7 linked regions of the Callithrix jacchus genome follow. The protein of the gene in region 7 interacts with the protein of the main gene of each other region in a pairwise test. Links are inferred from orthologs where the notes say so. Each region holds a gene or a part of one and is shown on either strand. Other genes may lie near its edges.

Evidence for each region.
Region 1: the proteins of MEOX2 (region 7) and SHFL interact in binary tests that used the Homo sapiens proteins (3 or more experiments, as listed by UniProt). The two-hybrid records come from large-scale screens. The link is inferred for Callithrix jacchus from reciprocal best matches to the Homo sapiens genes MEOX2 and SHFL.
Region 2: the proteins of MEOX2 (region 7) and HAT1 interact in binary tests that used the Homo sapiens proteins (3 or more experiments, as listed by UniProt). The two-hybrid records come from large-scale screens. The link is inferred for Callithrix jacchus from reciprocal best matches to the Homo sapiens genes MEOX2 and HAT1.
Region 3: the proteins of MEOX2 (region 7) and SMARCE1 interact in binary tests that used the Homo sapiens proteins (3 or more experiments, as listed by UniProt). The two-hybrid records come from large-scale screens. The link is inferred for Callithrix jacchus from reciprocal best matches to the Homo sapiens genes MEOX2 and SMARCE1.
Region 4: the proteins of MEOX2 (region 7) and CSF2 interact in binary tests that used the Homo sapiens proteins (3 or more experiments, as listed by UniProt). The two-hybrid records come from large-scale screens. The link is inferred for Callithrix jacchus from reciprocal best matches to the Homo sapiens genes MEOX2 and CSF2.
Region 5: the proteins of MEOX2 (region 7) and PCSK5 interact in binary tests that used the Homo sapiens proteins (3 or more experiments, as listed by UniProt). The two-hybrid records come from large-scale screens. The link is inferred for Callithrix jacchus from reciprocal best matches to the Homo sapiens genes MEOX2 and PCSK5.
Region 6: the proteins of MEOX2 (region 7) and AIRIM interact in binary tests that used the Homo sapiens proteins (3 or more experiments, as listed by UniProt). The two-hybrid records come from large-scale screens. The link is inferred for Callithrix jacchus from reciprocal best matches to the Homo sapiens genes MEOX2 and AIRIM.

Annotation. Positions count from the first base shown.
Region 1 is NC_133523.1:9,278,832-9,282,911, reverse strand, and holds the start of SHFL (shiftless antiviral inhibitor of ribosomal frameshifting protein), read right to left. Parts: upstream 2,801-4,080; 5' UTR 2,690-2,800; coding exon 2,669-2,689; intron 2,197-2,668; coding exon 2,073-2,196; intron 1,877-2,072; coding exon 1,827-1,876; intron 108-1,826; coding exon 69-107; intron 1-68.
Region 2 is NC_133507.1:57,607,835-57,611,844, forward strand, and holds the start of HAT1 (histone acetyltransferase type B catalytic subunit), read right to left. Parts: upstream 2,801-4,010; 5' UTR 2,722-2,800; coding exon 2,715-2,721; intron 2,304-2,714; exon of another isoform or gene 2,209-2,303; intron 1-2,208. UniProt on the Homo sapiens protein: Histone acetyltransferase that plays a role in different biological processes including cell cycle progression, glucose metabolism, histone production or DNA damage repair. Coordinates histone production and acetylation via H4 promoter binding.
Region 3 is NC_133506.1:92,631,896-92,635,395, forward strand, and holds part of SMARCE1 (SWI/SNF-related matrix-associated actin-dependent regulator of chromatin subfamily E member 1), read left to right. Parts: intron 1-1,563; coding exon 1,564-1,644; intron 1,645-2,591; coding exon 2,592-2,723; intron 2,724-3,013; coding exon 3,014-3,185; intron 3,186-3,500. UniProt on the Homo sapiens protein: Involved in transcriptional activation and repression of select genes by chromatin remodeling (alteration of DNA-nucleosome topology).
Region 4 is NC_133503.1:76,378,993-76,383,045, reverse strand, and holds CSF2 (granulocyte-macrophage colony-stimulating factor), read left to right. Parts: upstream 1-1,370; 5' UTR 1,371-1,402; coding exon 1,403-1,561; intron 1,562-1,663; coding exon 1,664-1,705; intron 1,706-2,392; coding exon 2,393-2,518; intron 2,519-3,326; coding exon 3,327-3,434; 3' UTR 3,435-3,553; downstream 3,554-4,053. UniProt on the Homo sapiens protein: Cytokine that stimulates the growth and differentiation of hematopoietic precursor cells from various lineages, including granulocytes, macrophages, eosinophils and erythrocytes.
Region 5 is NC_133502.1:85,654,769-85,659,064, reverse strand, and holds the start of PCSK5 (proprotein convertase subtilisin/kexin type 5), read right to left. Parts: upstream 2,801-4,296; 5' UTR 2,290-2,800; coding exon 2,098-2,289; intron 1,779-2,097; exon of another isoform or gene 1,651-1,778; coding exon of another isoform or gene 1,573-1,650; intron 1,377-1,572; coding exon of another isoform or gene 1,261-1,376; intron 1,063-1,260; coding exon of another isoform or gene 592-1,062; intron 1-591. Other genes in the region: uncharacterized protein LOC144578083, read left to right, coding at 592-1,062, 1,261-1,376, 1,573-1,650. UniProt on the Homo sapiens protein: Serine endoprotease that processes various proproteins by cleavage at paired basic amino acids, recognizing the RXXX[KR]R consensus motif. Likely functions in the constitutive and regulated secretory pathways.
Region 6 is NC_133508.1:74,246,375-74,250,442, reverse strand, and holds the start of AIRIM (AFG2-interacting ribosome maturation factor), read left to right. Parts: upstream 1-1,268; 5' UTR 1,269-1,524; intron 1,525-1,940; exon of another isoform or gene 1,941-2,071; intron 2,072-2,984; exon of another isoform or gene 2,985-3,090; 5' UTR 3,091-3,195; exon of another isoform or gene 3,196-3,312; intron 3,313-3,617; 5' UTR 3,618-3,890; intron 3,891-4,008; exon of another isoform or gene 4,009-4,013; 5' UTR 4,014-4,016; coding exon 4,017-4,068. Other genes in the region: CDCA8 (borealin), read right to left, coding at 484-612, 738-831. UniProt on the Homo sapiens protein: Part of the 55LCC heterohexameric ATPase complex which is chromatin-associated and promotes replisome proteostasis to maintain replication fork progression and genome stability.
Region 7 is NC_133512.1:42,792,488-42,796,787, forward strand, and holds the start of MEOX2 (homeobox protein MOX-2), read left to right. Parts: upstream 1-1,500; 5' UTR 1,501-1,779; coding exon 1,780-2,293; exon of another isoform or gene 2,294-2,334; intron 2,335-4,300. UniProt on the Homo sapiens protein: Mesodermal transcription factor that plays a key role in somitogenesis and somitogenesis and limb muscle differentiation. Required during limb development for normal appendicular muscle formation and for the normal regulation of myogenic genes.

The sequences.
Region 1 (4,080 bases), on a different chromosome or scaffold from region 7:
ACATGCTTCTGTGCCTGCAGATGTCCTCCTCCCCACTTCCCCATCCCTAGCCACAGCCACCAACTCACCTCAATGTCCCGGTCCTGTTTCATATCTTCTGGTGGGTCCTGGGTGGAGATAGCAGGGGCAGAAATGGGGGATGGGGCTCAGGCCTCTTTCCATCTGTTTGCTGGGGTAGAGGCCTGGCTACAAGGAAAATGGGGTGCCCCTAACTCGCCAGGAACTCACAGAGCACTGCCCACTTACTGAGAGCCAGGTGTGTGGTCTCAGTTGTCCTCATAACAGCCCTGAGAAGTGGGCACACCTGTGACATTATTGCTGCACTGGAGAAACTGAGGCTTAGTGGAGGACTTGCCTGAGTGAAGCCAGCCTGACTCCCATACTCACTTCCTGCCTGCAAATGCTACATGCTTGTTGGTGTTGTGATGCATCACCCCTTTGACGCCACACTGTGCCAGAGATAAGTGGTGGGAATCTGGGTTGAGATTCAGGTTTGAATCCTAACTCTATCACTTCCAGTTGTGGGGACTTGGGCAAGCCACTCCCTGCCCCCTGGGTTCCCACTGACTGACAGGCATGTCAGAGCTCAGGCTCTGACTCCAGGTGGCCAGGGTTCAAATCTCAGCTGCCACCTGCTTGCCTCGAGAACCTGGCAAGTGACTTAAGCCTCAGTTTCTTTGTCTATGAAATGGGGATGATAAATAATAGGACCTGTCTCCTGGGTCACTGTGGTGATGAAATAAATCAATTCCTGGAGTCTCGCCATGTGGGAAGTACTCAATCAATGCTACCCTCTGTTATTGTTATTATTATTTTATTTTTGAGATGGAGTTTTTTGCTCTTGTCGCCCAGGCTGGAGAGCAATGGCACGATCTCGGCTCACTGCAACCTCCGCCTCTCGGATTCAAGTGATTCTCCTGCCTCAGCCTCCCAAGTAGCTGTGATTGCAGGCATGCACCACCACACCCAGCTAATTTTTTGTGTTTTTAGCAGATACGGGGTTTCACCATGTTAGCCAGGCTAATCTCGAACTCCTGACGTCAAGTGATCTGCCTGCCTCTACCTCCCAAAGTGCTGGGATTACAGGCATGAGCCACTGCACCCGGCCCCTCTGCTATATTTTTATCATACTTTTACATGTGTAAATGTGGACTATGATGCATATTTTATTATACTCTTTTACAGCCCTACACTGAGCCTTTCAGGCAGATGAAATCCACAGCGTTCCCATCACCAAAGCTCTCCAAGAAGCAAAGTAGCCGCGTTGAACCTGTGCTTCAAAACCATTCATTCATTCATTCATTCACTCACTCACTCACTCACTCAACACAAGGGTTCCATTTCCCCACCTCTCTCTCCTCCCCAATCCCCTGCTCATCGCAGCCTTTTTAGGGACTGCCACTAACAACCCTTCCCCACTTCCAGTCTTTGCTCATACCATTCCCTCCCCCACCCCAAGACCCCTGGCTTCCCCTCCTAGGGCTCACTACACCCCATCCTTTAAGACGTGGTACCTCCTCCTCCAGGAAGCCTTCTCTGACCTCTGGGGCTCCCCTACCATGGCAATAATCCTGGCTCCTTTCATTGCCTAGTTTCATGGCTCTCTCTCTCCCATTGAATACAATCAGCACATAATGAGCGCCTACTGTTTGCAGGCTCCCTGGTCTCGCAAACGATGGAGAGGTGAAAAAGTGAGTAAGATTGGGCATGAGTTGCAGACGACAATGCCTGGTCCCTGCTGTTTCAGAGGAGGGTCCCCATGAACGGGTCGGGCCCCCTCTTGCTCTCCCTCCCGTGACCCAGTCCTTTGAGAGGGGAAGGGTTACCTGGGCATCCAGGCCGTTACTCAGTTCTTGGCCATCTTTTTGCTTTACCCCTGCGGGGAGAGTGCGCATAAGGGAAGGGCCTTTGAAGGGTCTGTGGGAGTTCCAGGCCACCCAGAACCGCGACGCAGAGCCTCCCCCAAGCTGGGATCTCCAGGGGAGGTGATCTCAACGCCTCTCCCTACACCACGCCCCCTCGGCGATCCCACGCGCGGTCCCCGCACCAGGCCCGGGCCCCCTCAGCCTCACCGTACACGATGGAGCGCCCCACTCCCGTGTGGTCGCTGCCGAATTTCCTCATCAGAGCCCCCGCCTTCTTGGAGGATACCTTCCCATGAAACTTCTCCCGGAGGCGCCGGACGCTCTTCTCCAGCTGGGATGGGGACACGGGGGCTCCGCTGGGGGAAGGGGACGCGCGATCTTCCCTCCCCCATTACTAGGCACCGTTCTCCCGGCCTGAACTTGACCCTTGGTTTTGGCCTCCGCCGCCCCCCCCCCATCCCTCTACGGCATTTCCTGGAAAAAGCCAAAGTCCCCACAGGGCGTTGGGGGAGGGCGCGGGCCGGGGCGAGCGTCCCAGCCTAAGGTGGGGGGTCGGCCAGGTTATCTCTGGCCTCTGACCTTTGACCCTGCAGCCCCCGCTTTTCCTCAGGGAGGCCTCATTTTGCTCTGGGGAAACGTGGGAGTCACTTTCCTTTTCAAGGGGGGCGAGCGCAAGGCAGGGGTAAGGATCTGGGGTTCTAGGATGGGGGTCCCCAGGAACTGCGAAGCCCCTTCCGCGCCTCCTGGCCGCTCCTCGGGCTCTGTCGCGGCTCCCCCCCGGACCAGCCGTAGCCATCTCCTACCTCCACACCTTCCTGAGACATGGTGGCGGCGGCGCAGGTCCCCGCGAGGGTCCGCACTGCGCGGCTCAGCCGCCCCCCTACCTGGGCGCGCCCGTCGGTCCAGCAGCCGCGCAGGGCAGGGGGCGGTGCCTCGGGGCCGGCTCCGCCCTTCCTCCCCGGCCCCTGTTTCGCTTTCGGTTCGGGGGGGACCGGGCGCGCTGGCTCCGCCCTGGCTCCGCCTTTGCTCTTGCGCCCCAAACCCAGGCGGGAGCCCCGGGTCTGCACCCTGCGGCGGAGCGCGCAGACCTCGGGCGGGGGAGGCGGCGCGGCCTCTGCAGTCGGTCACATGTCCCCACGCTGCGCGGGGTCCGCGTCTTCACGTCCCTCGTGGGGGCGGGGCTGCATCGGAAGGCCGCGGCGAAGCCCCGCGCCCCCCCACCCAGCGCGCGCTCCCCCAGTCCATCACCCTCCTCTGTCCTCCCTCCTCCCCCGGGAATCTGGAGCTTCTGAGGACCTGGGCCCTTTTCCTGCCCTGAGTCTCTGTCCCGCTACGGTCACTTCTTTGAGCCTCAGTTTACTGCTCTGTGAAATGGGGAAGATCCTGGTTTCTACACCATGGAGTGGAGCCTGTGCCAAGATTCCCGAGTGGATCGCGTAATAGCGCCTGGCTTGCAGTAGGCGCTCCACTAGCACTGGGCCACCTGCTGTGTGCCCTTGATGGGGCAGGCAGTGTGTGTGTGTGTGGTGCGGGGAGCGGTGCTTGAGAAAAATACAGATTCTTGGTCTCTAGTAACCCGGTAGAATCCGGCTGTCTCAGGGATCCAGGGAATCTGCCATGGTTGAGAACGCGGTGGGCCGGGACAATTCGAACCTTGTACAGGATGCATCTGGTAGCCCTAGAGTGGTGGGGCTCTGGCCCAGCCTGGGGACATCAGAGATGGCTGCCTCGTTGGAGGAGGGGATGCTTTGTACAGCGTCACTGGAATTGGAGGTCTGGGGGAGGAATAGAGTGGGGAGATGAAGCAGCCTGCGGAGCCCCCAAAGCAAGACTAAGTCTGGGGCGCTCGGGCAAGGGTTTCTTAAGCCCAGCACGCTTGACATTTTGGGCTGCCTAGTTCTTTGTGTGGGGGACTGTCCTGTTATGGGGAACATTTAACAGCATCCCTGGGCTCCACCCACTAGATGCCAATGGCTCCCCACTCTCCCCATGGTGACTACCAAATATGTCTCCAGAGACTGCCAGATGCTCTCTGAGTGGCAAAATAGCATTGTGTTCAACGACTCCAGTTTTTTTTCTCCATTGGACACCCCTATAGGTAAAACTGTTAAAGCTCCACCCGCAGATGGATGTTTGTTTGTTTGTTTATTTATTATCTTTTGAGACAAGGTCTTGCTCTGTTGGCCAGGCTGGAGTGCAGTGGCTTGATCATGGC
Region 2 (4,010 bases), on a different chromosome or scaffold from region 7:
AATGTCCTCTGATAATTATGATAGAATTTCATTTTAAATATTGGAAAAAGTCTACAAGAGAGCTTCAGATAAAAAAAACTGATGATGTGGCCAGGCGCAGTGGCTCATGCCTGTAATCCCAGCACTTTGGGAGGCCAAGGCGGGTGAATCACGAGGTCAAGAGATCGAGACCATCCTGGTCAACATGGTGAAACCCCATCTCTACTAAAAATACAAAAAATTAGCTGGGCATGGTGGCACAAGCCTGTAATCCCAGCTACTCAGGAGGCTGAGGCAGGAGAACTGCTTGAACCCAGGAAGCAGAGGTTGCGGTGAGCAGAGATTGCGCCATTGCACTTCAGCCTGGGTAACGAGCAAAACTCCGTCTCAAATAAAAATAAAAATAAAAAATAAAAAATAAAAAAACCTGATGATGTATGGAATGTCTCAAGAATAATACACACAAATACCTGGTAACCATGGTTACCCTGGGTAAAAAAGAAGGAAGCGGAATAGGGGTACAAAGAAAACATCTTTCCACTGTATTAAATTTCTTAAAAATCATGTGTGCCTAAAGTCATAAACTGTGAGCCACTGGTACAATCAAATAGTTTTACTACAAAGTGGCTAGCCATCTATATATATAATAACTAATACTGGAAGGTATCACTATCAAGAGAAACTTTCAAGACAACAAATCTCCTGACAAAATGAACACAAAGATTAATAAAAATAGGCCGGACAGAGTGGCTCACACCTATAATCTCAGCACTCTGGGGGGCCGAGACGGGGGATCATGAGGTCAAGAGATCAAGACCATCCTGGCCAACATGGTGAAGTGCCATCTCTACTGAAAATACAAAAATTAGCTGGGCACCTGTAGTCCCAGCTACTCAGGAGGTTGAGGCAGGAGAATTGCTTGAATATGGGAGGCAAAGGTTGTAGTGAGCCAAGATCGTGCCACTGCACTCCAGCCTGAGCAACAAAGCCAGACTACTACGTCCCCCCAAAAAATAAAAGATTAATAAAAATTCAGGCAGAGAAGAGCCATAAGCAAAAAGTAAAAAGGAGTACAATAATGTGCTATGAACTTCAAAAAGAGGTTAAAACACACATACACAGAAAATGGGAAAGACTCGAAGAGTACAGAGTAATAGTTTAGAGTCAGAATTCCTGGATTCGAATCCAGGCTTCACCATTACTTATTAGCTCAGTAAACTAGAGCACACTGCTTTACCCCTCTGACCCTAATCTATAAAACGGAGATTATAGAATTTACTTCGAGGAATTTAAGCAACAAATTTTAACCTGCAAAATCATATATTAGCTTAATCTGCACAATTCTATAAGTAGGTATTATATCAACCCCATTTTATATTCAAAAGTTCTGGCTTAGAAAGAGGTTGAGTTGAAGGGCATCCAACTACTAAATGACAGGGCCAAAATTCGAATTTAGATGTAATTCTTAAGAGTATGTCCTCCCTCTTTTGTGGTACTTCAAGATCCTACAATCTCCATCTGGTAGAAAAGTCCTCTTTAAAACATCTATAGAGCTCACACAACAGCTTGTCTATCCAACATATCCATAAAAATGGAATGGTTAATAATGAAGACAGACTACGAGGAATGCCCTGTAAAGAGATGATAAAAGAAACAGAAGTCATCAAAGTGGCTCAAGCCTGTAATTCCCACACTTTGGGAGGCTGAGGTGAGAGGATATGGCTTGAGGCAAAGAGTTCCAGATCAGCCTGAGGCAATACAGCAAGACCCTGACTCTAAAAGGTTAAAAAAGAATGGTTTTGGTTTTTTTTAGCAGAATGTTGTGGCCCATGGCTGTAGTCCTAGCTAGAGGATCGCTTGAGCCTAGGAGTTCGAGGCAGCAGTGAACTATGATCACTGTACTCCAGCCTGGACGACAGAGTGAGACAACCTCAGAAAAAGAAACTGTCCATAACTTCAAAATCGATAAAAGAATATAATCACACCAAAACAGTCTAATACACATACAAAATAACGGCAATTGTAACATTTTAACATCTAGTATAACTGCTGTTACTAAATGTTATAAGTTGAAGGGACTCTAGAATGTACACAAGGGAACTGTATTACAGTAGTCCAACCCTAAAAGAGAAGTTTAGACAAGGGAGGAGTTCAGGAACAACTTTCTCCAAGGGCATCTAAATAAAATCCTGGGAATACTAAAGTGTGCGAGATGAAGGAGACGATTACGAAGTCAGTCGAAGTCCAAGTTGGGAGCGCTAGAGCAGGGCAAGGCAGCAATGTGCTAGCTCAGAAGTTGACTGTAGTGGAAGGTAGAGGGAGACCTGGAAGAGAAGGAGGATCTGAGCATTAAAATCAGCTGGCGGGAACAGGACCAGATGTAGAAGAGCTGAAGCAAGCAGCAGTGAACAAAAGGAATGGGAAGAGAAACAGGCCCCAAGGCAGGTGGCATTTTACAAGCCCAAATCTTGACGCTTTCCCCCGGCCTCTTCGGCCGTCGGTAGGGGCCGGGTTGCGAGCAAAAGGCGCAGAACCCTAAGCAGTTGGGGGCGGGGACGCGGAGCGCGGCCGACCGGGAGCCGAGCTGAGAGTCCCACGCTTCCGGTCCCAAGCAGGCCTTCTGGAACCCTGGCTACAGCCCGAAAGTTCCAGGCGGGCACTGTCACCACAGTCAAGGCGTTCTATTCCAGATCTTCCCGCCTCCTCCCCTTGGTAAACTTTTCCCGGGAACTTACCCGCCATTTCCGATATACGAGCACCCGCGGCTGAGGAAGGACGAATCAACCCGCGCGCTCCCGGGCCGGAAGTGACCGCACAGTCTGACACATTTCCCCCGCCCACTCCCAGCGTGACGTTAGCCAATGAAAGGAGGCTTATCCAGGAGCCCGGCGGCGGAAGCGTTTGAAGAGGCGGGGCTAACGCCGAGAAGTCTGCGCGGGCCGTTGCCTAGCCACCGCGAATGCCGTCAGCCGCTTTGCCTGCCTGAAGTGGAGAAGGAGGCCGCAAATAGGAGCTTCGCTGTTGAGATGCTCTCAGGCACTAGGAAAGTTTCTCTCGGATTGATTTGAACAATACAGACACTTTACGCCTGTTTTCTATACCCGTCCCTGAGATGTTTTGGAGACTGGATGAAAATCTTTCCTCTTGGCCTGGACAGTGCATCCAAACACCTGAGCCCTATGGGCAATTTTACCCTAGGTAAGATTTTACCTAGGTAAAATGCAAGGGTTGAGTTTCAGTTGCGGGAGAAATTTTCACTTCTTATTTTCCTAATTTGTTTCTAGTATTGCTGTATACTTTAACATCTTTTTTCCTTTCTCCCTTGTTTTTAACAGTATGCAGTGTGATAGGTACTCTGCTTTCACTCTTCTGGTTACTAAGCAACCGTTTAGCGCACGGACAAAAGTCGTTACCTAATAAATACCTCAAGGGGCCTGATGTAGTCTTGCATGCCACATGTCCTAGTGGTTTGAATCACATCACAGGTGTTACCTGATTTTAGCCATAGGCTTTGTTAGTACTTAGTAGCTGTTGGAACACTTTCGCCCAGAGGATAAACCACTATTTAGGTATCCACAAATATTCCCACAATGTTGTCTATACACCAGAAGTCCTTATCCCAACAAATATTTGTTAACAGGTTTTATAGTGATGCATGCTAAAGCTAAAATGGACCCTTGGCGGCCCTGCATGGTGGCTCACACCTGTAATCCCAGCCTGTGGGAGGCGGAGGAGGGCGGATCACGAGGTTAGGAGTTGGGGACCAGCCTGGCCAACATGGTGAAACCCAGTCTCTACAAAAATTAGCCAGGCGTGGTGGTGCGCGCCTGTAATCTCAGCTGCTCGGGAGGATGAGGCAGGAGAATCACTTGAACCTGGGAGGTGGAGGTTGTAGTGAGCCAAGATCGTGCCATTGCACTCCAGCCTGGGAAATCGAGTGAGATTCTGTTTCAAAAAAAAAAAGAAAAATGGACTCTTGGGATGATGATGTGGAACTAACATGCCCTGTCATTTTAGAGATGAGGAAATCA
Region 3 (3,500 bases), on a different chromosome or scaffold from region 7:
TCTGTTGCCCACTGCTGGCTGAAAACAGGATCTGTCTACCTGGGCACTAGCATGAGGTGTGGTAAGAATGCATGGGAGGAATGGAAAGAGAGGAATACTGCTCCCAAGCCAAAATGCTTTCTAATAACTTCATATATGAAGTAGAGTTACAGGGAAGGAGAGAGACCCTTGTAGGAAGAGGAAACGTTTCTTGATCATAGTGGAAAGGGACACAAACATGCCCATCCCAGATCCCTCAAATGCAAAATAAGGTTATAATTGGGGTCCCAGCCCAGAGTGGAGGAGTATCTCTGGGGTTTTATCACAGCAGCAACAGAAGAGGAAGCGAACAAAATGTCACTTTAGTTTTCTTACAAGGATTTGCCAATCCTGTCTTTTGATAATTAGTATAAAGCCATCGCTTTTTTCCCGCCTACCAGGGAGAGTCAGTATCAGAGATCTCCTGAAAATTTGCAGATTGTCTGAAATAGCAATGCTTTTTCTTATCCTGGGTCTTTAATCAAATGCAGTCATGCATATTAAGGGGAGACTAAAAAGTTGAAATAGATAGTTGTTGGTTGTTATCTGGGTGACCTACAAGAAGCTCTCTGGAATCTCACCTAGACCTTAGACCAGAGGAAAAACTGATCACTTCTCTTTCTCTTTCCTTCTTCCTATTTCTTCTCTCACTTATTTTTGCTTTACCTTACTAAAAAATATTTTTCAGTCTTACCTCCCCCTCCTTTTCTCCTGTCTCCGTTTTCCTGCATATCCTATCTTTCCTTTTCTTTTGTCTTTCCCATAAAACCAAAGATTTTTAATGGAATGGAGCTTGTCAATATAAGACCTCAAAAATAACATAATCAGGCCCCATATCTGCCACTTCTCTGTTCCTGATAAACTTGTTTGCTTTTACACTGATTAGGCCTAAGGACAAAGAAAAGTGTGACTTGAGTTCACACTTCTCATTCCCCTTTATAAGAAAACCACTAGGTAACAGACAGAACCTTAAGAGAAATAAAATCTCTAGCCTGGCAAAGGAGGTAAGGTGGTTTGTTATTTCACAAATTGTTTTTGTTTTTGAACCTGGGAAGTTGTTTTTGTGGTGGTATTGTTGGGAGTGCATTCCTAACATAGTGCTAATAGGTACTAAGGCTCCTATAGACAGTGTGAGAATGGTAAGTGCTAAGGGTTCAGATCCTGCTACAGATAATCAAGTGTTGACTGTATGTGTAACGGTAATTGAGCAGAATCAGAGGGTGCCAGGTAAAGTCCTGAATGTGAGACGGTTGATATATAATCATATATTTTCAATGTATGGGTTATCATGTAATATTTTATTTGTTCTTACAGCCAGGTTGTCAAAGTATTGACAGTAAACTGCTAAGCAAAACATTTAAAAATTGTGTGCTTAAAGTCATTTTCTTTTGAAATTTCTGAATTTGCAGTAATAGCTATTTTCAGTGGAGAAAATATTTGGACGAGTAGAAGAAAGGCGCATTAGAATTTTTTAAGGAACTCTCTTTTCAGTTTGCCGGTGAACTCCTTATAGTTGAATAATTGATGTATTTAACTCTTTTGTAGGCATCCTCTGGTATTACGATTCCAAAACCCCCAAAGCCACCAGATAAGCCGCTGATGCCCTACATGAGGTACAGCAGAAAGGTAGGCGCTTAGGACCTGGAAAGGAGCGAGGACACTGTCTTTGCCTCTTCTTCACTTTACATCCAATTTTAGATTGGCTTAGCCAGCTTTTCTGTGCATATTCAGAGGAAAGGACCAAAAAACTACAGTTTTTAAAACAATTAGTTCTGATATCAAAATTCCAGAACAAAATCCAACAAGAGGAGCATGATTAAATAAACTTTTAAAATCCTTAGGACAGAATGTTCTGTAGCCATTAAAGTCATGTCTTTTGTAGAATATTTAATGACATGAGGAATATGTTAAGTGAAGGAGAAATACAAGACTATATGAATTAATCTTATTTTTATAAACATAATAGCAACCACATGTTAGTTTGAAGGGGGAAAACACAGAAGACAATGATTCTCTCTAAGCAGTAAGCTTATAGTAGTTTTTATTTTCTTTATATTTCCTCAGATTTCCCCTATTTTTTTTTTTTGGTGATGAACCTACATTCCTCTTAAAATAAAAAATATCGCCAATATCTTTATTAAAAGGCAGAGCCTTTTAACCACTATCCAGAAATTTTAAACCTTTTGGTCTTGACTATTATATATGTATTTAAAAATATGATGTATTGTGCTATGCAAATTAAGCATTTTCTTCTAAATTCACATGAACTTTCAGAGACACAGCCTATGTTGTTGAAGTAATTCATCTTAAGCATCTGTAGTGATTAGAGATATTCTTGTCTATCAAATTGAAGTATTTATAAGTGAATGGCATGATGTCTGAGATCTATCTTAATCCAGTAGGGCAAAGATGACATGAGATTGGCCAGCCATTGATAATTGTTGAAGTAGGCTGATGAGTACATAGAAATTTGATCCTGTTTTCTCTGCTTTTTATGTTTAAAAGTTTCCATATTTTTTAGTGTCTGTACATTTAGACATCAGTATTGACATTTCACCTGTTTTCTTTTTAAGGTCTGGGACCAAGTAAAGGCTTCCAACCCTGACCTAAAGTTGTGGGAGATTGGCAAGATTATTGGTGGCATGTGGCGAGATCTCACTGATGAAGAAAAACAAGAATATTTAAACGAATACGAAGCAGAAAAGGTAGAGTAGGGGATCACAGTGGGATAGATAATGTGTAAAGTACATAAACATTGGCTTACTCTTTATAAAGGAAACATAAGATTTGGTCAGAAGGCTGATGCTGTACTGAGGCTCTGTCTACCTAAGTCAAGTCAACTTCTCAAGGCCTCCGATTTCTTGTCTGTAAAAAGAGATAATTATCCCAGCACTCTGCTTACGTCATAACTTTTGATAGTCAAATAAGATAACATAAGTCTGCATTGTAACCTGCAAAATGTTAATTATAAAACCAAAAAACATTTGAATTTCAGATAGAGTACAATGAATCTATGAAGGCCTATCATAATTCCCCCGCGTACCTTGCTTACATAAATGCAAAAAGTCGTGCAGAAGCTGCTTTAGAGGAAGAAAGTCGACAGAGACAGTCTCGCATGGAGAAAGGAGAACCGTACATGAGCATTCAGCCTGCTGAAGATCCAGATGGTAAAAGAAAAAAGTGGGGTTTTGTTTCTGCTTTCTCTGAGAGTTACTAAGATATGAGAAATCTCCTAAGTTTTTATTTCTTGTCCTAAATGGAAAAGAAAGCATAATTCAAGTATCATCTCAGTATTTTGGTTATATTAAGATTTGTATATGAATTTCCCACAAGAAAAAGAAATAATCTTTTTCAGTGTAGAAAATAGCAAAAATTATTTATTGTTTATCAGAATCTTTGTACTCAAAATGTATGAAAGGTTTTTAAGTCACAATTAGGATTTTGCCTCATCTGCTTTTAAAAAGCAAAATGCATTCTAATTA
Region 4 (4,053 bases), on a different chromosome or scaffold from region 7:
TGTTCTCGCTTGTGTCCGACCCCATTGGTTTCGGCTGAGTCAGCCTCTGGAGCCCAGAGGCACTGCACCCTGGGTGAGGAGCTTCTCCAGTATTAGGGGGCACCTTCAGAGGCCTGGAGCCTTTCACAAAGCAGGTAAGAGGACTCACACAAAGCAGGTAAGAGGACTCTCAGGTAAGATGCATCTGCACGAAAAACATTCTCTCCTCCACGACACACTTGTATGTACAGATGCAACCAATCACAGCAGCACACATACACCCAGAAATGGACACATGTGGGCCCACACCCCTTTAGCTATGAAACCCCAGGCATGGGTCAGCTTGAGCCAGATACCTTGTGCAAACACAAACTCGTGCTGTCTTCTCTGAACTCCATTGTGAAAATCAAACACTTGTCAGCCCCTTGAGCTTTTCAGAAGCAGTTCCTACTTCCACAGAAAGGCCTCTGGAGTTGGGGGCTGCTGGGGCTATGAAGGAGATTAAGCCTGGAAGACCTTGCTGAGAAAGCCATTGTCCCTGTACCTGCAACGGGTACAGCCACAGTCCTGAAGCCAGCCTGAAACTCCTGGTGCCTTCTGGGGGCTACATGTAGGTATGTAGAGCCCACCTCAGAGGGGTAACCTGCTCTGCAGAGGGAGTCAAGGCTCACATAACCAGAGAGAGGAGTCACTCAGCAAGGTGGCTCCAGAGCCAAGAGTCAGACTCTGGATCCTGACTTGGCCCAGCCCCACCCCCTCTAAAGCTTGCTGAGAGTGGCTGCAGTCTTGTGGCTGGATGTGCACATGGTGGTGATTCCCTCTGCTCACAGGGGCAGGGGTCCCCCTTACTGGACTGAGTTTTCCAGCTGCTCCGAGTCCTGGGTGGGAGTCTGTGTGAACCATCAAGGGGGAAGGTCTGTGAGAGCTCCCCTCACACGCAAGTCTTTCATAGTGGCCAGAGAAGAGGAAGGCTAGAGTCAGAATGAGGCACCAGGGTGGGCACGGCCTGCTGAAAGGCCCCTGGGATTATAGGCAGGATAAAGATCTCTATCTAAGTATCTCCTACACCCTACCCCAGCCATTCCAGGCCAGGAAGTCCAAGCTGTGCCCCTCAGAAGGAGGGGGCAGCCTCAGACCCATTCAGACTGCCCAGGGAAGGCTGGAGAGCCCTCAGGGAGGTGGGTGGGTGGGCTGTCGGTTCTTGGAAAGGTTCATTAATGAAAACCCCCGAGTCTGACCACCTGAGGAAAAGGCTCACCGTTCCCATGTGTGGCTGATAAGGGCCAGGAGATTCCACAGTTCAGGTAGTTCCCCCGCCTCCCTGGCGTTTTGTGGTCACCATTAATCATTTCCTCTGTGTATTTAAGAGCTCTTTTGCCAGTGAGCCCAGTACACAGAGAGAAAGGCTAAAGTTCTCAGGAGGATGTGGCTGCAGAACCTGCTGCTCTTGGGCACTGTGGCCGGCAGCATCTCTGCACCTACCCACTTGCCCAGCCCCGACACACAGCCCTCGAAGCATGTGAATGCCATCCAGGAGGCCCAGCGTCTCCTGAACCTGAGTAGAGACACTGCTCCTGAGACAGTAAGTGAGAGAGAGAGCATGGCCCTGTGCCTAGGCCACCCTGCTGGCCCTGGGCTGGCCATGCCTGTCAGCTTGATAACATGACATTTTCCTTTTCTACAGAATGAAACAGTAGAAGTGGTCTCAGAAATGTTTGACCGCCAGGTAAGATGCTTCTCTCTGACATAGCTTTCCAGAGCCCCTGCCCTGGGGTAGAGGTGGGGACTCTATTTTAGATGGCACCTCACAGGGTTGTCCACTTTCTCTCCAATCAACTGTCTGCCAGGAGGAGGGGGCAGCAAGAGCTGCCTTGGTGCTCAAGAGGCTGCTGGCCATGCCGCTGTGGCAGTCACATAAACTCCTTTATCAGCTGAGTGGCATGAGCAGACCTAGCATTCAAGGGCCAGGAGCCAGGGTACAGGTGGTAAAGTGAGGGTCACTTCATGAGATAGGAGCTGTGGGTTTGGGGTGCTCACCGTGCCCTGAGGCCAAGTCCTATTGAGACAGTGCTGACTACAGAGAGGCACAGAGGGGTTTCAGAAACAACCCTTGCCTACCCAGCAGGTTCAGGCAAGGCCCTGCCCACTCCCTGAATGATAGGGTGAGAGTGACCTCTTTCCCTAAGGCTGGGATCCTCTCCAGGTGCCGTTGAGGGTGGCCTGGGCTGGGTAGTGAGGAGGGCAAGTTCATGCCTACTGTGGACAGGGCAGGGTGTATGACTGGACCCAGGCTGTGCCCCTCCCAAACCCTACTCCTGGGAGCTGGGGATGGCAGCAGAAAGGAGTGGCGGAGAGTTCCTGTGCCACTGCAGGCCCTTGGCCATTGCTCACCGAGGAACGACATTTCCCACAGGAGCCGACCTGCCTACAGACCCGCCTGGAGCTGTACAAGGAAAGCCTGTGGGGTAGCCTCACCAAGCTCAAGGGACTCTTGACCATGATAGCCAGCCACTACAAGCAGCACTGCCCCCCAACCCTGGTGAGTGCATATGGCAGAGCCCCCAGCAGGAAGGTCTTAGTCTAGGGGGGTGGGGTCCACATGAGGAGAGACCTCTGGCTGTGGCTGTTCAGGACCTCAAGGGGTTTCCGTGCCAACAGCTATGTAACGATTAGCCCTCCAGAGAGGAGGCAGATGGCCCATTTCATCCTAAGGAGTCAGAGCCATGAAGCACTAAAGCCCACAGTGCTCCCCAGCAGGAGCTGCTTCTATTCTGGTCATTATTGTTATTATGGTTAATGAGGTCAGAGGTTAGGCAAACCCAAGGAAATTCGGGGCCTGCCCAAGGGCCAGAGGAAGTGCCCTGGCCCAAGTGCCACCTGCTGGCAGGACTTTCCCCTGGCCTCATATAGGTGCCTGAATTGTACAGAATCAAGGGAGGGAGGCAAGCTAGAATGGACAAGGGCCTCAGGCACTCCTTCCTGCGGGAAGGGAGCAAAGTCTGTGGCCTTGCCTCCGCTCCTTCTGGGTTCCTGGAGACGGCCTCAGCCCAGCTGCCCTGTCCTGCCCTGTCCTGAGATCAAAAAGGCAGGCGTTTGACTGCCCAGAAGACCAACCTCAGGCTGGCACTTAAGTCAGGCCCTTGGCTCCAGGTGCCACTTACAGAGCTGTGCACTCCTTGGGGAACACGTGGGTGGCAGCAGCGTCACCTGACTCAGGTCAGTGGTAGGTCTTGGAGTGGGCCTCCTGGCCTCTGAGTTCTGAGAGGCAGCACAGAAGCATGCTGGTGTTTCCCCCACGTTACCCACTTGCCTGGACTCAAGTGTTTTTTATTTTCCTTTTTTTAAAGGAAACTTCCTGTGCAACCAAGATTATCACCTTTGAAAGTTTCAAAGAGAACCTGAAGGACTTTCTGCTTGCCATCCCTGTTGACTGCTGGGATCCAGTCCAGGAGTGAGGCCGGCCAGATGAGGCTGGCCAGCCTGGGGAGCTGCTTTCTCATGAAACAAGAACTAGAAACTCAGAATGGTCATCTTGGAGGGACCAAGGGACCAGCCATTGTGGGGGTGGCCCGGACCTGCCCTAGGCCACACTGACCCTGATACAGGAATGGCAGAGGAACGGGACTATTTTATACTGGCAGAAATTAGTAATATTTATTTATATATTTATATTTTTTAAATATTTATTTATTTAAGTTCATACTCCATATTTATTCAAGATGTTTTACCGTAATAATTATTAAAAAAATATGCTTCTATTTGTGCAGTGTTCTAGTTTGTTTTCAACCATGAGCAAATGCCAGTGGTGCCTGCCTCCCATGAGGCAAGGAAGGGAGGAAACGGGGAGGTGGGAAGGGGATGGAGGCCTGCCAGGGGTTGGGCACTATCTGAAGGGCAACACTGTCAGAGCAGAGGGGAGGTGAGAGCCCGGCATGGGTGCTGAATTCTGCCACCTGGACAGGCTTCCCTGGATGCTCCGGGGCTCCCACCCCAGAGAATGGCTCTCAAGTTTACCTGGAAGTCCAAGTGACCAACCCAGGGAAATCTTGTCCCAGAGAAGGGTATCACCCTTCC
Region 5 (4,296 bases), on a different chromosome or scaffold from region 7:
TCTGCCCTTGTTCTTCAAGTCAAGAAATCTTGGTTTGTTTGAACTAAATATCTGTGAATTGAGACCAGATATTTGCTTCTAGTCTACTGGAAAATCAGAATTCAGGGAAATGGAGATTTTTTACTTACTTCCGCCTTCACCTATAGGATGGAAGGGTTCCCTAAAGGCAGGATCCAAGGGAGAGTGGGCTTGCAACCGTCAGAGTCCCAGATCTGAATCATGGCTTTGCCACTGTCCAGCTGGTCTGTTTCCTCATCTCCTGTATGTGAGGTGACATTTGCCAAACAAGGTTGTTTTGAGATTAGGAAAGAAGGGTACGTTCAAGAATCTATTCTTTCAAAAATGCCTGGCAGGTGTGAGATGTTCAGTATTAGCAGAACCCGAGATGATTAATACTACTAGCTACTTTCAGGGCATAGGCAGTGCCCAACTTTAAGTTCATGTAACAAGACCTGAACGGACTCGGTGCTTTCTTCCAGAGAAAAAGAAGCCAGTAGAATCCCAACAAGCCTTTAGAATGGAAATCTTCCGCAGACAACAGGCACTCAAGCAACAAAATCTGGCTGGCTTCCCTTACTTCCTCACTTCCAGGGGCGGGAGGGAATACAAACCGTGCCCCTTGCCCTAGTCTCAGTTCTCCACAGGGCTGGCTTCTCTGGAATGAGTCCTCCCTCTGGGCGGGCAAAGAGCAAGATCTTGTGCTCCTGCTCCTCGGAACACTCCCGCGCTCCCCAGCTCCTTCTAGATGCAGCGACGGCAGCTCTGCCTCCTCGCCAGGCGCCGCATTCCCCAGGCAGCGGGGAGTAGGGGGTGTCCCCGGGTTCCTGGGCGTGGAACGCAGTGGCCTCAGAAACTGTCCGTACTCTACCACTCCACTGGCACCAGCCAGCACCTCCCTCTCCCTTCCCCCTGGCAGAGCACGTGCGAGGGGTGCGTGCACCCCAGGCAGTCCCCCAAAGCGCGCCTCCTGGAAAGGCGCCATCCATCACCTCCCATTCCGGCGGATTCTCGCCAGAGCCCAGCCAGGGAACGCTCCTCCGGCCAGCCCCAAAGATACTTGCGGTGTGTATGTGCGTGCGTGTGGGGGGGGGGTACTTTCTGGGACCCACTTTCATAGCCCTCTCTACCCCCATTTCTCACAGGGGTGTGGGGGGAAGAGAACTAGGAAGCCAAGACCACTGAATCCGGAGTACTTCCAAATCCGTTACACTTCCAATCGTCCTCATAGCATCACCTTAGTTTATCGGCATTTCTCCCTAGCATCGAAGCTCTGCCAAAACCCCGCAAGTGACACCCCACAAAAACCCCGCGCCCCTGCTGCCTGCCCAACTCTCGCCCCACAGCGCAGCCTCCAGGCCTGGCACCTTCCGTCCGGGGTAAGACTCCTTGCTTTCCCGGAGCGGAACCCAGTCAACAGGTTTCGGAAGTTTCCCACCTCCTCACTCCAACTCCCCTCCGGGAGCCCCCAAGCGGACCTCGCTTAAGGCAAAGAAGCCTAGAGGTCTCCCCTAAATCTGCGCTCACACAGGGTCCCGCCCCCTCTTCCCTCCCCTCTTTTTTCCTCCCTTGCAGCTCCAGTCCCCGCGCCTCCGGCTTCTCCAGCGCCAGCGGTTCTCTCGCCCAAGAAGAGGAAACTTCTTTCTGGGCTAAATTCAGGTCTGAGCAGGAAAGGCTTTCCCTCCCCGTCGGCATCAGAGGCGCGCTCACCCCCTATCCCCCAAAAGACCTCATTTCCCCCTCTCCCCACGATCACCCTCTGAGACTTTGCCTCGGATTTTTAGTGTTACTCGACTTTTTGTGTCAAAAGGTCCAGCCGTCTCTGAAACCACCACGGAGGCACTATGGATTTTTCTCAAGACTCTACCAGTCCCGCGTGGCTTGCAAAAGACAAGTAAACAAAACACGGACCCGGCAACTTTGGGGTGTGTGTGTGTGTGTGTCCGCGCGCCCGCGCGCGGGAGACAGAGCATCGCCCAAGAGTTAGGGCAACAGCTGCTAGAACACATCTGGAAGAGGGGGAGGGAGTTCCACGCAGAGGGGACAAGAAGCCCCCAGTGGCTTCAGGGCCTAGGGCTGGGCCAGCCTGTAGTCCATTACCTGTCCTATGTTGATGAATCCGTACTTGCTGGCGATGCGGTCGGCCTCCGGGAAGCCCCCGGCGATTTTGACCGCCCAGTGGTTGGTGTAGACGCGCGTCCTGCACACGGGGAGCAGGCAGCCCCCGAGCAGCGCCAGCACGCACAGCAGGTCCAGGCGTCCTGGGCAGCAGCAGCGGCTCCCCCAGCCCATAGTCCCGGCGCCTCGCTGCTCCCTAGCTCGCTGGCTGGCTGGCTCAGCGCACTAAGGGCGCGCACAACTAACTTCTCCGGCCTGGGCCGCCCGGCGCACAGCCCGTGGCCGCCGCAGCTCGCAGCCCCGGGCGACCGGTAGGAGGCGGTAAGCCCCGGCAGGGAGCAGAGCAGCGAGCCTCGCGCCGGCTCCTAGACCATCCCTGGGGCCGCGAGGACCTGTGCTCCCAGCTCAGGCCCGTGGAGCGCTCGGCGATGCTCCCCGGCTCGGGCGCAGGAGGCGGCTGAGTGGGGCGGGCGTCCTCCGCAGTTGGGCTTCGCCGGGCTCGGCTCCCGGACTCTCCGACTCGCTCTCGTTTCTCCGGGGGCCCCCGAGCGCGGCGGAGACAGCCAGTGAGAGCGGTGCAGGCAGCGACCGGGCGCCCCCTCTGCTGGCCCAGGCTCCGAGCGCTCGCTTACTTGCTCCCTGCGCTCCCTCCGGCTCCGAGCAGCGCGCGAGGATTCTGAGTGGCAATGGCAGCAGCTCCTGCTCTGCATAAATGACTTCCCCCGCCCCCCTTAACACCCCTCCTTTCCCACATCCCCCTCCTCCTCTCCCTCCTCCGCCCTCCTGAAAGCGGCCGCAACCGGGGCGCCCACCAGGTCCTAGCGCCTCCGGGTTCTCCCAGCTGCAAGTCTTTCCACAGCGCTGCGAACAGAGCTCCGAGGCCGTGGTTTTACCCTCCTTTTTACCTCCCTGCTGGATTTGTCTAAATGTACCGCCACTTCCCGAAAGACTAAAGACATTTACACGCCGGTGTGAGTTAAGCACCCTGAAGATTCATTCATCCTCGCTCTAAATGTCCTTAAACAACTAGGCATTTAAGGAGGTCCCTTGCGTTTCAATTGCCGAACAAATAACCCGAGATTTTCACTTCGTTAATTCTTCATGCTTTTCAGCAACTGTTTATTTTACACATTCTGCTCCTGGGAGAAGTTACCACACAACACAGGACGGTAAGTCGCATCGACTCCTAGGAAAGCCAACAACCGTGGCTCGAAAGCCAAGTCCGTTGCCTGCTCACTTTCGAAATCAGCGCATCCGATACTAGGCAACGCCAAGGGAGAGTAAAATTCCGGCCTTGGAAGTGAGGAAACATGTTTCTATGAATATCTGGTATACTAGTGGATGGAGATGTTGGGCCAAAGGAATAACTCCATTCATTTGTTGGATTACGTCTGACGAGGGCGTCTTTTCCTCCACCAAGGGAAAAGTTTTCCAACTTTTCCAAGCACAGTCCTGTAACAGTGAAAGACTTTAATATAAAAAAGACCACAGGAGAAGTTCAGATGAAATATGTGGCCGCGTCACCTTCATTACTGCAGCAGGCAGGAGGGAGCCCAAATTAACCCTCCTCTTGCTTCTCCTTTACAACCTCCCTGCCTTCTTGGAGCGGGGGTGGGACACAGAGTGATTTATTGTGACAAGAAAAATTACCTCTTACGAAGTAATTCAACTGACCTTAAAAGTGTTCGCTATATCCCTAACTGTCCTTTCTCTCCTACTACCATGCACTATTTCTTTCTTCCTAAATGTGTTTGAGATTAATTAACTCCTTCCACCTATAGCTTTTGGTACTGATTTTTTTTTTTTTTAATCTGAAACATACCTGCAGACTTAAAATTCCACTAGTACCTCTGGTCATAGCATTTGACATTTTACACATTGTATAAGGTATGCTATATTATTTCATCTTGAAAACAAACCCACGAAATAAAATTATCCCCACATTATAGATAAGAAATAGAAGATCAGAAGAACTAAAACATGTGCAGAAGGGTATGTTATTTTATTCGTTTATTTATTTGACTGATTCAACACATCTGTTTGGAGCACCTAGCATGTGTTATGAATTGTGCTGAGCACTGGAGAAAGGGGAAGGGGGGACACAAAAAATTAGTGGAATTCAGAATCTGTGACTACTCTAGAGTAAATGTGGTTTATTACTGTATTTAATACACTCTCAGC
Region 6 (4,068 bases), on a different chromosome or scaffold from region 7:
TACTTGAACCTGGGAGGTGGAAGTTGCAGTGAGCCAAGATCGCGCCACTGCACTGCACTCCAGCCTGGATGATAGACTGAGGCTCTGTCTAAAAAATAAATTAAAAAAAATACTATTTCCTGATGTGGAAAAATTATGTGAAATTCACATTTCAGTGTATCCGTAACTAAAATTTTATTGCAATACAGCCCATCCATGCCCATTCACTACAGCTGTTTTGGAACTGTATCACATATCACAGAGTTGAGTAGTCTGACAGAGACCCCCATCGACCCCCGCACCAGTGGACTAAAATATTTGCTAGCTAGACCTTTAGAGAAAAGCATGGAGAAAAATGAAGTAGGGAAGTGAGACAGAGAGTGAAGGGGAACAGTAGGTCTGCCATTTTCCATAAGTGCTCATGTCAGATCTCATTAAAAGGTGACATCCGAGCGAGCCCTTTCTGAAGGGTGTCACCTAACCCCAAGGGGCTGCAGCTCTTACCGAAGTAGTCGAGCCAGTTCATCTCGCGCAGCGCCTTGGGGAGTCGCAGGATCTCGATGTTGTACAGGTTATCCACCTCCTTGAGGAGGTTCTGCCTGTCTGACTCAATCTGCTTGATTCGTATTTCCACTGCGGGAGGGCAGAGCCGACGGGACACGGGTCACGGGGCGGGTGAATAGGTGCTGCTCGTGTCCCCACCCGCCAGCATCCCGCGACTGCCCCAGGAAGCCGCGACTGCCCGGCCCCTTCCTTACCTTCACGGTCGAAGTCTTTCAGAAAGGAGGCGAGCTTCCGCTTCCGTAAGGAGTTGGTTTTGGCCACCCGACTGCTGCCCTTCCTAGGAGCCATGGCGCTCGGCGGAGGCTGCGGGTAGCGGCAGAGATGGGGCAGGGAGGCAAGGAACCGGGTAGGCACGAGAAAGGCGGACAAATGCCACCCGAAGAAGTCGCCAGGCACGTACCTGCAGTCCCGAGACAAGGGCTGATCAAAACCTCCCGGTGCCTGTGAGAAAGCGGCTCTACCGCCAACCGCCACCCAATTCAAACTCCACGGCCACAGGCTGACGAATGAGAAGCCGCCGTCCCACAACATCCAATCACAAGCAAGTTCTTGCCGGCCCGGGGTCTCCAGCCCAATGCGCCCTCTACAGCCTGAGTACGTCAGCGCGGCCACCGCCGTCGCGAGTGCTCCTGGGAGTTGTGGTTCAAGATAGTTTCCCCGCCCTCTCCACGCCCACCCGGCTCCGCCCTGGCCAGCTGCAAACGATATTAACTACTATTCCCGGCAGGCCTTGCGACGGCACCTCGACACTGTAAGCTCTGGAGGGCTGAGGGCCGACCAGGACGACGGGGGCCCGCTTGGAAGCCGGGAATCCCAGCACTTTAGGAGGCTGCTTCTTTCTGGCCTGGTTGCAGCTGAGTAGCCGAGGGCCGCCGTGACCCACTGATTGACTGACTACTGACTGGCTGTCTGTCTACCTCTGCGCTCCTCAGGGCCCCAAGCACCCCAGGCCGAACTTCGGAAAAGTGGAGGGAACTTCGGGCAAGTGGAGGGTCGGCGGAGACACAGCAGCCCCACTCAGCAGTGTTTGGAAGGGGGCGGGGGGTGCAGGCTTTGGGGTGGGCGCGCCAGCCCGGCCAGTCTGGGCAGCGAGTGGGGGGAACCCTCTCGTTCCTCGGTCGCCCGCGGGCTGGACCCTCCTGCCCAGTTAACATCTCGGCGCCTCGACTGGGTGCGGAGTGCGGGGTCGCGACTTCAGGTGCAGTAGTGGCGCTTGGCAGCTGGCTGTCCGGTGACTGCAGTAGGAGCCGCGGCCGCTAGACTCCAGGGAGCCCAAGGCAGGAGGCAGCCCTGGGTGTCGAGGCCGTGGGCCTGGGAATGGACGTGTAGACGGCGAGCCCGGCCGAGCCGCGGTACAGTCGGAGGTGCTAACTGTGTATCTTGGCATCTGTCCACAGCCACAGGGTTGGATTGATCGGGGGTTGTGCTGAGGCCCAGCAAGGCTAGAGGCTAGTCTTGAAGTCTCCAGGGATCAGAGCGATAGCTCAGGCTGAGTCTCAAGGCGGGTGGCAGCCGGACAGCCAGACTGGTGAGCTCTTGATGGGTTTGTGGTATGATTGGATTTGGTGCTTTTCACCTGTGGATGCGGTCTGAAGCCATGTCAGAGGGGTTGTGTTTGTGTTTAAGTGTGCATTTTATAGACTGTAGGGGTGATAATCTTCCCTCTCCCCCTCTGAGTTCAGGAACAATCGAGGAAATAAGCAAAGGTGCCAAGCAGGCTCCTGATAGGCACCAGCGAGCTTGGAGACACAGCAGGTGGAACATAGGAGCCCTGGCAAGCCTGGCCCTTCCTCTTGCCAGGGAGAGTCCTTTCTCTCCCTTCCAGCCTGTCCTGTTGCTCCATATGCAACAAGTATTTGAATGTCACTCTTCCGCCCGAGGTCAGCCCTGGGCAGTGGGTGATGGGGGTGACACTCCAGTCTGCTGGGTGCCTGAGAATCTTCATCAGGCAGATGGCCAAGATGAGAGGGGATGACAACCGGTACCTCATGCAGGCTCCCCCCAGCAGGTGTTTTTATGCTGGGCAAGTCTGGCTTCCAGCCTCTTGGTTTCAGCGCTTCTCTCACTCCACTCCCCAATGCGCCCGACTTCCCTGGGCACCTAGGACATCACCCTGCATCTTAGCTAGAGCTGCCACGTCAGGAGCCCCTGATTCACTAGTTTTTGCCAGTTGGCTGTGCCACAAACATTGTGAAATGTGTCATTAAGACATAGCCGGAGGCGCAAGCTTAGAGGAAGTGACTCTTAGCTAATAGGATGTGGTAACACCGCCACTAATTTAAACTGCTGCAGGCTGACAAATGAGAAGTTGCCGTGTTGGGACGGCTGCAACATCCCAAGGAAACTTCAAGCCAAGTGGCCAATCCACATGTGGGACTACAGTACCCAGAAGTCATTGTGGCAACACGATATATTTTCGCGACGCAGTAGCCCTGCAGGCTAGAGGAGCTTTGGGAGATGTTCGTGTTTGAGCACATGCAGACAGACTACGGGTGCGTGTGCAGGTCTGGAGTGTTCTCACACTTTGGCTGTCTCTGCTGGTTTCAGGAAGGCAACCGGCAGCCTCGGGCAGGGGAGACTGGCCTCTGGGTTAGAGAATAGACGGCGCTTGGATGCTGGGAATCCTCTGAAGTAGGAGAGTGCCCTATCCAGGTAACCCTTCCCGAGGGAAAGCCAGGATCTCCTTCACAAAGCTGAGGCAGGGCCTGACGCGGTGGCTCAATCCTGTAATCCCAGCACTTTGGGAGGCCGAGGCGGGCGGTTCAGGAGTTCAAGACCAGTCTGGCCACCATGGCGAAATCTCGTCTCTACTAAAAATACAAAAATTAGCTGGGCATGGTGGCAGGCACCTGTATTTATTTATTTGTTTGTTTGTTTGTTTATTTATTTATTTTGAGATGGAGTTTCGCTCGTTACCCAGGCTGGAGTGCAATGGCGCGATCTCGGCTCACTGCAACCTCCGCCTCCTGGGTTCAGGCAATTCTCCTGCCTCAGCCTCCCAAGTAGCTAGGATTACAGGCACGTACCACCATGCCCAGCTAATTTTTTTTTTTTTTTTTTTTTTGTATCTTTAGTAGAGACAGGGTTTCACCATTTTGACCAGGATGGTCTTGATCGGTTGACCTCGTGATCCACCCGCCTCGGCCTCCCAAAGTGCTGGGATTACAGGCGTGAGCTACTGTGCCCGGCCGGCAGGCACCTGTAATCCCAGCTACTCTGAAGGCTGAGGCAGGAGAATCGCTTGAACTTGGAAGGTGGAGGTTGCAGTGAGCCGAGATCGTGCCACTGCACTCCAGCCTGGGAGATGGAGTGAGACTCCATCTAAAAAAAAGAAGCCACTTCTGGAGGTGAGACAACTCCTGTCCAAACACGAGCATGGAGATGACCGCCCACCCTCGACCCAGTGCCTCCCCGACTGACTTGGCATCCCTACATGGTTATTTTCTTTATGTTTTTATCTTTTTCAACAGAAGATGACTCAAGACCAGCCTCTGGTTGCCGTGCAGGAGGCCCTGAAGAAGTGCT
Region 7 (4,300 bases):
AAAGAAAAGATAGGCTTAAACAGGGGGACTGGAAGAGGAGAGGAAAGGTTCTGCTTTGGGGACACCTCTCAAAGATTAATCAATACTTTTTCCTAATTCAAACCAGATGTCTAGCCCAGTTTGCTGTACCCATTAATCCCATTAACAACTTCAAAGACCTGGTCACCATCCTCTGGACACCTGAGACAATGAAAATAACAGGGCGACACTGCTGGTGGTGCAGTCGGGGCTCCGGGTGGAATAGGTGACTACAGATATTCTCCTGATCCGACACGTCCCAGATCCGACGTGACTGTTCCTCCTGCTCATTAAAGCCCATTCACTTGTGTATAAACGACTGTGCCCCAGCGGATCTTGTCGCTCACCAAGCAAGTGGCAGTATCAAAGCCCTGCCCTCGCTCTCCCATGCTTACTGGAGGCAAGTTATCGAGTTTATTTTCAGGGATGCAAAGATGTAATCAAGCGCCCAAGCTTAGTGAATTCTTAGAGCTATCGAAATTTAAGATTTCTCAGTAAATGGAGCAGTGGTGTTAAGAGACACGATTAGTGGATTTATTTTTGAGCAGAAGAGTGGATTTCTAGAGGGAACTGAAGAGACCTGGGCTAGCTCCGGAGGGGAGAGGCTAGAAATGTGCATGCAAATCTACACATCTCATGTGACTGGGACAAAATCGCTTGGAAATAATTCTTGACCCAGGAAAATTTCTTCTTGGTGGACGAGTGGCTAGGAAATTGAGCGAGACCAGGAAAGCGGGGGGGAGGGAGACTCCACCGGGCATCGCACGTGAGGATGCCAGAGAGCAGGCATCTGCAATTCGCGCTTACCTCCCACCCACCCCACCAGGTCTTCCTTAGGTCTTCCTCTCAGGTCTTTCCGCACTGTGAACCACACTTTCCAGGCCATGGTGCACGTCCCCGAAACCTCAGACCTGGCGTCCCAGCCTCTTAACCACCACCCACAGAAACTAACTGCGAAAACCTAGGCGCGCGGCGGCGCCCTGGGCACGGGAAGATGCGAAGTTTGAAAAACTTCCAGAGTGCGCCAGGCTAGCTCTGATCTTTTCCTTTAACCCTATCACTTCTTTCGTGTTCCTCAAAGGCTAGGCGTATCCCTAGCTTTTCTGCAGGTGACAGTTCCCAAATGACACTGACAAGTTACGTTTTCCCAAGAGAAAAATTAGTAGGTGGGAAACAGGGTGCTGGGTTGGCGCTGGTGCGCGCCGCGCCCTGGCCTCCAGAGTCTGGAGGGCAGAGCCGCTGCCCTCCCGGGCGGGATTTAGACGCTGGCGCGCCGCTTGTAGTCCTGGTAGCTGGCAGGGCTAGGCGGGCGTGGACGCTCTGCGTCTGTCCAGCCGGCGATAGGAAGTGGAACTGGGAGCGCGTGGCGCAGACTGAGCGGGAGTTTTGGAGGGAGTTTGCATGTGGTCAACTCTGGGCTCCTAAGCCAGCCCCCAGCTCACGTTACAGTCTATTTATAACCTCTCAGAGCCATTTCCCCCTGAAGGCAGTTCACTGGGACCACCTTCTTTTGGCTTCAACCTCTCCCACTCTTGACATCTGAGTAGCTCAGGGAAGCTCTTCCAGGTCCGACTGTTCATATGTAAAGGAGACTGGCCGTTAGGGCTCAGGACCGGGATTATCCGAGCTCTGCAGAAGTGCACGGCTATTGCTTTGAGAGGGGTAAAAAACATCACACGGTTTCCAGTGAAAAGTGACAGAGGGTGGTGGCCTTTAGAACCGCCGTGAAGTCTTCTGCCTGGAACCCGAAACTTGCATGCTATGGAACACCCGCTCTTTGGCTGCCTGCGCAGCCCTCACGCCACGGCACAAGGCTTGCACCCGTTCTCCCAATCCTCTCTAGCCCTGCATGGAAGATCTGACCATATGTCTTACCCCGAGCTCTCTACTTCTTCCTCATCTTGCATAATCGCGGGATACCCCAACGAAGAGGGCATGTTTGCCAGCCAGCATCACAGGGGGCACCACCACCACCATCATCACCACCATCACCACCATCAGCAGCAGCAGCACCAGGCTCTGCAAACCAATTGGCACCTCCCGCAGATGTCCTCCCCACCGACTGCGGCTCGGCACAGCCTCTGCCTCCAGCCCGACTCCGGAGGACCCCCAGAGTTGGGGAGCAGCCCGCCTGTCCTGTGTTCCAACTCTTCCAGCTTGGGCTCCAGCACCCCGACCGGGGCCTCGTGCGCGCCAGGGGACTACGGTCGCCAGGCACTGTCACCTGCGGAGGCGGAGAAACGAAGCGGTGGCAAGAGGAAAAGCGACAGCTCAGGTAAGAGAGCGCCAGGCACCCTCGAGAGTGCGCGCCGGCCTGGAAAGGGGGCGGGGAGATGCCAGGGAAGAGTCTGGCCCTGGAGGGTGGCGGCGGGGAAGAGGGGAATGTGTTAAATTCGGCGGTGAAGCTTTGGTCCTGTTATTTGGGGGCACGTGTTTATCCGAGAGCAACACAGCTAGCAGCTCTAAGCTCTCCAAGGTCCTAAACTAGTTTACCAGAAGGTTGATAAAAAAGGACAAGTGGCTGTGAAATCGATTGCGAAGCGTGACCTTCCATCCCAGCGCGGGGGAGGGAGGGGCGTGTGCCCAGGGATGCCGCGTCCGTTGGGCAGGCGTGCGTGCGTGCGGGTGCTGCTTCTTGACTTTTCTCTTGCAAGTTCCCGACTCTGAGTGGCTTGACTTTTCCCATCGTAAACTGGATTTCCAAATTATTGCACAATATTTGGAACTTGCAATGGAACTTGGCAGAGCACATGAGAAAAAAAAAAAAGTTTTAGTTTTTTTTTTTTAAACATTCTTGTTTGAGAGTTCTTTAAATAGCACCCTATTTCAAATGGTAAAAATTTCCCCTTCTTAGGGAAGAAGATATTATCTAGGAATTCAGATTTTAAGGAATGTGTCAGAGAATTGTAAATAAATACATGCTCACGCTGGAAGAAAGACGAACCTTAATATAGTACATGTTCATGTTGTGTAAGTTAATTACAGAATCTAAATTTCAAGAGTGGAAAATAAATCCCTCTACCAAGTTGGTTTTAGCTGCGGCAAATACTGGGTAGCGAACAGCAACTTGGGTAGTGTCAGTTAGCTACGTGCCTGAAGGTCGTATGCAAGGGTGCGCAGGAAGCGCTGATTTCAGTGAGGATAATTTGAGCAGCCACGCAAAAGGGGAATCTTCCTGACCTCTGGTGCTTGAAGGCACAACTTGCAGAGTAAATTGTAGCAATCCAGAGAAACTCAAAGTTTTCCAGACAACTTTTCAAAGCTCTGACCTACTTCTATTATCATAAAATTGTTAAAAGATACTTTAAAATTGAGAGACTTGTGAGTTTTCTTTCGTGGCTATGGTGCACCCTGGCTTCCATCTTTTTGGAAGGTATTATTTGTTTAATATAATATTTGTATATTTTTCTTCCTCTGCGGAACTGGGTTAATAATAGTCCTAGAAGGTAATCCCATATATTGGTTTGAAGGATTGGAATGTTTATGCTTTTTAAAGCTTTAGGTGAGATGTCACATAAATGAAAATGATTGACCGCATGTTTAATATTCCTCTCCCCTTCGCAGCAATATCAATCGTTCTTCAGCGTTAGTATGGGATAGATTCTTCTGTCAGAAGAATAAAATAACTTTTATTTTCCAAGGATAGGGGATGAACTTTTAATGTTCAATCACAAATTAGTTTTTATAAGAAAGTTAGCAGTGGTGTCACTGATATTTACTGTATTTTCCTAACTATAAGTGAAACTCCCTTTAGATAGTGGAAGGTTAATCGTTGTAAGAAGGTTTCAATTTTTATTAGAAAAACCGTCGATTTTAGAATGCAGTGACAATTTTATAAACTGAACATTCGATATCAGTGTAACTTTTGAAAGAGATCCCAGTTCAGGCTGATGAGAGTACTCTTGCAATTCCCATAAGCCCTTACTGTTCATTTTATTTTTCTGCAATGAGAAACCTACATGATAGCCTTATGCTTCCGGAACTGAGCCACTGCCCTTAAGTTTCTTAGGGCAAACAATTTTCATGCAAGCACATGTTATTTTGTTTGGGGGAAACCAAGAAAATGGAATTCAATAACTGATTTCCTTAATTTATTTTAATAAAACTTTTTTTTTTAAAAAGGAATAATTTAATAACATTTGTCTCTTCCCCCAACTGTGTGGGAAATAGCCATTTAACAAAATTAAGTTCATTTCTACATGTTGAAGCTGATAATGAGGGTAATGGAAAAACAAACAAATATAAGTGTTTGTGTCAGCTGAATAAATTATGAATAAATTAA